Oryzias latipes: one gene and its partner. The protein of the gene in region 1 interacts with the protein of each later gene in a pairwise test. Links are inferred from orthologs where the notes say so. Each region holds a gene or a part of one and is shown in the gene's direction. Other genes may lie near its edges.

What was found.
Region 2: the proteins of stac3 (region 1) and zcchc10 interact in binary tests that used the Homo sapiens proteins (3 or more experiments, as listed by UniProt). The two-hybrid records come from large-scale screens. The link is inferred for Oryzias latipes from reciprocal best matches to the Homo sapiens genes STAC3 and ZCCHC10.

The regions. Positions count from the first base shown.
Region 1 is NC_019865.2:7,551,634-7,556,048, reverse strand, and holds the start of stac3 (SH3 and cysteine-rich domain-containing protein 3), read left to right. Parts: upstream 1-1,488; 5' UTR 1,489-1,796; intron 1,797-2,450; 5' UTR 2,451-2,483; coding exon 2,484-2,491; intron 2,492-2,929; coding exon 2,930-3,008; intron 3,009-3,278; coding exon 3,279-3,435; intron 3,436-3,583; coding exon 3,584-3,681; intron 3,682-3,851; coding exon 3,852-3,912; intron 3,913-4,223; coding exon 4,224-4,321; intron 4,322-4,415. UniProt on the Homo sapiens protein: Required for normal excitation-contraction coupling in skeletal muscle and for normal muscle contraction in response to membrane depolarization. Required for normal Ca(2+) release from the sarcplasmic reticulum, which ultimately leads to muscle contraction.
Region 2 is NC_019872.2:6,662,258-6,666,359, reverse strand, and holds the end of zcchc10 (zinc finger CCHC domain-containing protein 10), read left to right. Parts: intron 1-1,757; coding exon 1,758-1,799; intron 1,800-3,050; coding exon 3,051-3,285; 3' UTR 3,286-3,501; downstream 3,502-4,102.

The DNA.
Region 1 (4,415 bases):
ACTGCTCCCAAAAAGCAGCTAAAACAAATCAAACAACAACGAAATTAGTCTAATAACAAACGACGGAGTTTACGACGTGTGTGGCAAACAAACACTGAAATATTTTACACTGATGACACGGCAGCTAGCGTGAAAGCTAATAGCCGGGCTAGCAGGCTAAGACTACTTTGTAGTATGTTGTCGTGACAGCTGTCAGGCGCACAAAACACTCTGATGCAAAAACTCTTGTATTAGCAACGGTTACAAGAGGCATCCCGTGCAAAACATTGTCTCGAAATAAACACAACAACTTTCCTATTCGAATTACTATGATTCACTTACTTACAGATATCCGTTAGAGGAGGTAGCCACAACAAACAACAAATGCTGATTAACCTTTTTTGCATTAAGCTCCGTGTTGGCTAAGTTTTGAAGTCTCCGCTTTTGGATCGCGGGTGAATCAAGTTAGCTAGTTAGCAAGGCGACTAGCCAGTGAATGTTTTGAAAATGGTTGGTACTTTCAACAATTAAGCGAGACTTTAACCATTACATAATCTAATTCACGAATTAGCGATGTTAACCAGCTATCAAGATTTACGCAACGTCTGACCGTCAGGTTTAAAAACAAAGAGCAGTAGCGCTTCATTTCACTGCGCTTGAGTTCCTGGGTAACCGCTACGAGCTATGCTAGTTAGCAAAGCTAAAGGACTGAAATTTACTTGGTTCTGGAGAGTCCCAGCAAAACCGAGGGATGTCCCGCTCCCCGTCCACAACGATCCGGCCGTTGCTTTTAGTCTCCGTTCTGCTGAACCGTGTGGAATTCACATTCAATTCAACAACCATAACGACCTATGTGATCCCAAATTCACATTTGCTCCTTGTGTTTTTTTTCTTTCCCTTTTTCTTACAAATTCCAAGCAAAAGAAAAAAGAAAAAAAAATAATAATGGAGTTTTCTTTTGGGCATGCGCACTCAGCGCGTCAGGAATATTGTACCCAAAATGCAACGGGACCTTTGTAACGCTTGTCTAGCGCAGGTTGGAGCGTCCTGACAGAGGACACTGCATATATATCTATATATCCATTTATATCTATATCTATATAGATATATATGCATCTACATATCTATATATCTAGATATATAGAGATATAGATATGTAGAGAGATTTTAAACTTTAAAACCAAGTCCAGATGACATCCCCTAAACCTACTACAATGGAACCAACCTGGATGAATGAGAGTCTTCATAGACATACATATAGAGATATGTATATAGATAGATATAGATATAAAGATCTATATCTATCTATATACATAGATAGATAGATAGATAGATAGATAGATAGATAGATAGATAGATAGATAGATAGATAGATAGATAGATAGGGGGGAGTGTGTGTATCCCCTTTTCCTCCCGACTCAGGCTTAGTGAGAGATACTCAGCTGTTGCAAACTGTCAAGTTCACTCAGTAATGCCAAGCCTGCCATGCACAAAAATACACACACTTGGGCATCCATAAATAGTTAGATCTTTCCAGTCCCTTTACACTATTTTGTATATTGGCATATGTAAATATATATTACTTTAGTGAGGTTACATTCAAAGTGTAAAATCCTCTGAAGCGAATATCAAGAAACCACAAATAGGGGACCAAAGGCCAAAAGGCCTGAACTGACAGGACATTTTGGGCGGCTGCTTTGTTGGAGTCAGTAGCACAGATCGTACGCCACACCAGTCATCGTCTTTTGCTCAAGACCCACCATAGAGTTTTGACAATATACTGGATTTGTAACTTCCTCCGTGGTCTTTCACTTAAGGTAGGCTACCATTGCATATATAAACAATGCCTGTTAATAACCATTTCTGTTTCTGTTCTGTAAGTAGATTAAATTTGTTAAGTGAATTGTTCACCACTCTTAAAATCTGTGTGGTTTATTTAAAACAATTTTGTTCAAGATGATAGCTTGGATTTCGTTACGTTTTTTTTCCTGACTAGAAAAAAATCCAAAATTTAGCAATTATGAGATTTCAAAACCCAAAAAGAGTTTGGGTAAAGCTGTAGGTGACAATTTGCAAAATCCAAGTTACACTGTCAAACACAAAATAATGAAGCATATTTGTTTTGTTTTGTTTTTTTACAAAAAATTTCTTTCTGTATTTGATATTTCAACTTTTGCTGTGTGAAATTGTAGGTTGGTTAATATAAACATGCGAAAGTAAATCTGTGGCTAAATACATTTTACATTGGCATTTGTCTATTTTTAAACACTGGCAGTCATAAAATCCTAAACATAGAAACGTAAGGGAGTGATTATATGAACTCTCACAATTAAAAAAGAAAAGAGGTCCTTTCAGATGTACATAAAATATAATATTTTATAAACCAAAGTTTTTATTTTATTGAAATCATTTAGAAATTCTAAATTTTAAGTCAATCAACCCCATGTCAAACGTTGTTCCATTATTTCTAGGTTGGAAAGTGTTGACTTTGTCTGCATTGCATCATGGATCAGTGAGTACAGATCCACTCATCATTTGTTCCGTCAGTGTCAAAATGTTATAAGCTTGTTAGTTATCAATTAACTTAAAACTCAACTTGATAAGTGATACTATTAGAGATCTTTTTTGCAATGAGGTCAAAGTCTACCTATTAATTTCTATAAAATAATTAACTGAAGTTATTTTATAAAATTGTATCGTTTAAGACGAGTGTCTTTTGTAACTTGGAGTAGATTTTTCTTCTGATTACATGGTTTCCATGATGCTTGTTTTTTTTTCCCTAGTCTGTCATGGTAAAATAAGTTCAGTAAGTTCTCCTTTAGTGTCATTGCTGAATAAACATGCACCAGTAGTAAACCTTTGAGTTTTATTTATTAATTCCAAAATTGTGTTTTTTTCCCAATCCGTGGCTTCGGCAGCTTATAGTTTTTTCCACGTTTATTTATCTCAGGGAGGATGACAAAAACTCTGTGGATATTCATGACAATCCTCCAGTCCCTGACAATGTAGTGAGGGAGGAGGGAGACACAGTGAGTGACAGCACCATGCCAACCACCCACCATTAGGGCCATTCCCAGGATGTTTAAAATAGCCACCAGTTGGAACAAGGCTGCAGTCCACTGTCAATTCTGAAAATATGACCTCAGATTTAGATTTCCCTGAAGATAGTTTTATACATGTAGTCTAGACAGTTTGTTTCATTGCCAAAACTCTGACTCATACAAATCGAGATTCTTTATGAACACCACCCTTAACATGTTTCACATTTTCTGCCTAAGCTGTTTCTGCTATTTCTCAAGGTCTACTTCATATATGAAGAGGAAGTTGAAGTGGAGGAAAAGGAACCAGAACCTCCCCCGGAACCCATTCTTCGGATCAATGACAAACCCCACAAATTCAAGGATCACTACTGCAAGAAACCTAAGTTCTGCGATGTCTGTGCTCGCATGATAGTCTGTATGTGCTCACCAGGATACGCAAATACACAACCAGTCCTGTTAAATTTCCCAAAGAAATGTGTTTAGATTGACTTTTCATAGTGATGCTATTTTCTACATCAAAATGATGTGTGACTTTTACTGTTTTTCATTTGCACATCTTGCAGTGAACAACAAGTTTTGTCTGAGGTGTAAAAACTGCAAAACCAATATCCACCATTCATGCCAATCCTATGTCGAGTTCCAGAAGTGTTTTGGCAAAATTGTGAGTTTTATTCATCATAAAAAATGTTATATTTTACACTGATATCAAAGAATATGCAGTCAAATAGATAGACAGTCAATAAAATCTGTGCAAACTCAGATTATTGTGTTTTATAATTCAAAGGCTATAAACTCTTATGAATATTTTATTTTTTATTTTTGTGTTTCTAGCCACCTGGATTTAGAAGAGCTTACAGCTCCCCTTTGTATGGCAGTGACCAACCCGATCCAAGTGAGTCCAGAAAAGTTAGCTCAAAATAGACATGATTATCATAATCACTATTTTGAAAAAAAGAAAGTTACTTGTGTTGGAAAATTGCTGTAGCTGATTCAACAATATAATTGAAATAAAGAAAAATTACACCAGTTTGTACAGAAAATCTCCTTTTGGCTTAGCATAAAAATTAGATTACATCTTCAAAGGTGACATCTAACCTGGACTGTAGGCTTCTGCATTACTAGTCTTTTTAAATATTACTATCAAGCAGTCAAAATTAAATAGATAAATTATTGATTCAGCTCAATAATTTTGCATTCCACCAGATAATCCAAACCGGAATGACCCCGTCTTTGACACCCTGAGAGTGGGCGTCATAATGGCAAACAAGGAGCGCAAAAAGAATGAAAACGACAAAAAAAATGTGAGTGAAGTCTTCCTGTCTCAAACCTAAATTTAGAGTATCAACAAATGATGATGTAAACACTTTACAATGTTTGTGTTCATATAGATGAATA
Region 2 (4,102 bases), on another chromosome or scaffold:
CTCCCTCTCACTCATGGTGCAGAAAGAATTAAACATAACAGGATAAAATAACACAGTAAAACAACAAAACACATTTGGTCAAAAGAAAGGTGTGGATTCTGACACCCCTGGTTGAGAGACTCTGACAAGAAGAGCAAAGATGAAGATGTTGAGGTTCTCTTTGGAGGGAGGAGGATGGATTGCATCAGGAATGAAGTGATAGTAGAGCACATGTGTCAAACTCAAGGCCCGCGGGCAAAATGTGGCCCGCCGTGTCATTTTATGTGGCCCGCGAGAGCATACCACTTTTTCATTTCTTAAAATAAAAAAAGGCGTATAATTATTTATTTTTTGGAAATAAGTGTTGAGCTCCAATCTACACTATCGGATCTCAAAGACAAACCCATCTCTATTGAGCTATTAGCCCCTTTATAATAATGAAACGATTCAGCTGGGTCGTCATTCGGAGCGGGAAAGTGAGAGCGGAGCAGTCCATCAACTGACTGACTGACTGACTGCGCTGGACACTTGTCTGCCCTGCATGCCGCATGACTCCCAACGAGAAGCTGATTGCGCAATCCGCTTTCCAGCATTGAGCCCAATTAATTTGAACGCGCAGAACGTTGAACATCGCACACGAGTCATCCCCCTTTCCTCTCCCCACAATCACGGTGCAACAAAAGAAGCAAACATAACAGGAAGAATTAACTAAGGGTGGAACAACAAAACTGATGGATGGAAAGAAACGTAGGCAACAAGAAACACCCATTCTCAACCCTATTCTGACCAGTGGACCGCATCCCACAATCCCCCGTGCAATACGTTGGGTCTGCTGGAATACCCACTATCCCCCGCGCAGTTTAATGTTTGCAGGTCTGTATGCAGACAAATTGTTGTCATCAAACAATCAGTTGGATGCAAGGCTGTGTGCAGCCTTTGTTTTTGTAAAATGTTGCTTGTGTCAAAAAAGTTATTTCTAGCTCAGTTTTATGTTATTGTATTTTTACTCACTTGGACAGTTTGATCCTTCATTAATGGAGTTATGTGGGTTTTAACAAGCAGACAATATTTTAACAGATTTATGCTAGAGTAACAAACAAACATATGTTTTCTTTGCAACTGTAATTGTCACTTTAAAATGTTATAATAAATAAATGAGTTATTTAACATTAAGGAGTAGTTGCATTCATTTGTCATTACATTTAGTTACATGTGTGAGTTATATCTGGCCCTTTGAGGACAACCACTATGCTGACGTGGCCCAAAATAAGTTTGACACCCCTGTATTAGAGGAACGGCTGAAGTTAGATGATTTGGGGATCAATGCAGGGAAAGAGATTGAGATGGTTGGACACATTGAAAGGCGGGACAGTGAATATGTTGGTAAATTGATGCTGAGGTCGGAGCTACTAGGAAAGATCAAAAGGTTCATGGATGGAGTTAAGGAAGGCATGATGGCAGTCCTCATGTAAGCGAGGAAAATACAGAGGAGAGGGTTGGACCAGGCCTGGTCCTCGGGGATCTACCACCCTGCCTATTTTCCTTTTGCTGCGGATCACCTGGACCAGGTGTGTTCATTCGTCTGAATGTGGAGACGTCTGATTGAGCTAATCAGCAGCTAGGAGGTCTGGACAACAGGCAGAGTGGTAGATCTCTGGGACCAGGATTGAGCAGCCCTGCAGATGATGTGGTGACCCCTAAAGGGGGCAACCAAAAACGGAGAACTTCCCCATTTCATTTTTGTTTCAGGTTTAAATGAAACTCCTTTCTGTTCACAGACCAGGAAGGGAAGGTTCACACGAGAAGAAACTCAAAAAGAAGTAAGTAGGAATTGCCAGATGTTAATTAAACTTTGTTTTTTAAGGCAGTTTTCTAAATAACTACATGTTCTAACCTGCCAGTTCTTCAAGCATAAGGTTAAAAAAAATCACATCTGCAGTAAAATTCACTTAACATTATGAGTGAAGCGCATTTATGTGGACATCCTTCATGTTTAGTTTTCATGTGAAATATTTGTTCCTAGTAAGACCCTGACTTGAACTAAATTTAAAAGATGTTTTAAGAATAATGTAGAAGATAGGAGGAGATTTCCAACAACATCAGGAGAAGCAGAATGGAGGGAATTCTTTGTGTAAAGATCAGAGGTAAAAACTTTCACAGAATTACTGCCAGCATTGTGAAGTAGATTTTTCCAGGTGACAGGAGTGTGGTATATATTTATGTGTTTCATGTCAGAACAGTGTTCATAAAATAAATGATTTTAATTTGCTTCACTTTCAAATGAACAGACAAGAGGAGACAACAGATGAATATTATCATTTTAGTATCAACACACCACTATAATTTCATTAATATTAGTTGTCAAAGTTATTCTGGGTGTTGGCTCCCTCTAGTGGATTATTCTAGCTACTACAGGTTTCCAGCTCTTATAGTTGGGAAACAAAATTTAAGTCTTTCTTGAAATCCGAATGCTGTTTGTAAAAAAAAAAAAAAAAATTTAAAAAACGCAACTACATATGGTCTTCATCAAGTTAACTAATTGAAAGTGATTTTTTTTCTTATCTAGTTTTCTTCTAACTTCCAGGGAGTAGAGAGCATGTCAATGTTTAGACTTTTTAGAATTTATTATATCTTTAAATGTATTAATTTTTTATTCATTCTTTGACAGATAAGGTTTTGTTTTGATCATGTATAAAATAGTTCTGTCTGTTCTTTTAACATATTTAACAGCATAACACCAAAGTCAGTGTAAATGGAACATAGTCGCACAAATGCTTGCGTCCAAAAATGACCTGAATCTGCTTGGCATGGCCGTTGTGCAGCTCAAGTCATCTTAAAAAAGATTCGTTTAGTGACTTTATTCTTCATAGGATACTGGACAGTCTGTGACATAATAGCTGACATTGAGCTTGATGGTAACCAGAACAGACTGGCCGTGTCTTCCTGAACATTTTTGTTTGTTTGCTGCCTGATTCCACGGCAGAAACACGGAAAGCACAGCATGACGCGTGAAGCTGCACACGCTTCTGTTCACTTATGTCTTTGCTTTGTGCTGCCCCTCTGACTCCCAGAGCAAAAGACGCCGACGACGGCAGCGGGGCCTCAGGAAACTCCTCCAGCGACTCCTCATCTGACAGCAGCGACTCCAGCTCTTCCTCTGATGACAGCGACAGCAGCAGCGACAGCGACAGCTCCTCGTCTTCATCCACAACATCCTCTTCCTCTTCATCCTCGGACAGCTCGGACTCGGGGAGCAGCAGCGATTCAGATCAAGAACCTCCTAAGAAGAAGAAAAAGAAAAAATAGAAAGGGAATGTTGTTGTTTAGTTGTTTTCCTCAATAAACTTTTCTAAACTCTCTCGACTAGATGGCACCAGAGCTGCACAGGTTTGGTGGGGAGGAATTCGGCTGAATAGTATTTGATCGTTGCATCTTCTGCTTAGAAAATGTTTCTATTTCTGAGAAATGTTCATATGTTTATATTTGGATTCTGGATACAAATAAAATGATGATAAAAAGCAATATTACTAAAACTTGGTTTAATACATTTAAAAAGAAATGTGTTCTGTTTATTAGTTTTAATGTAAAAAAGGTTAAAAAAAAACGAAATGTTACAGTTGAGGGAGTACTCGATAAAAGAGAAGTGTAATGGGGATTTTTCTTTATTTTAAATATAATTTAAAGTTTTTCCTTTTTGAAAGAATATAATAGTAAGGTCAGTAGTTTACTGTGTCTCACATGGATGTAACGTTTGTAAACGTCTGAAATTATGCGTCTTTCAAAAGACAATATGGATTAACATTTCAGGACTAATTCACAATAAAAACAAATGAGTGAGACACTAGTTTTTTGCTTCAAAAATAATTTAGGTAATTTACAATATAATTACTAAACTATTTTGCATTTTAAATAAGAAAAAAAAACTTTCTGGGAGAGCTGCTATAAGTATGGCATTTCACTAAATGCAGTGCCCCAAAAGATTAGAAATGTAAACTACTGCAAGGATTTCAAAAAGTATGGTAATACTTGCAGAAAGGACTGCAAATTGATGGTACTTTGATTAGGATTCATTTAATTTTCGGTAGGTTTCTCTAAAATGATCTTTTAGTGTATACCTGGAAAT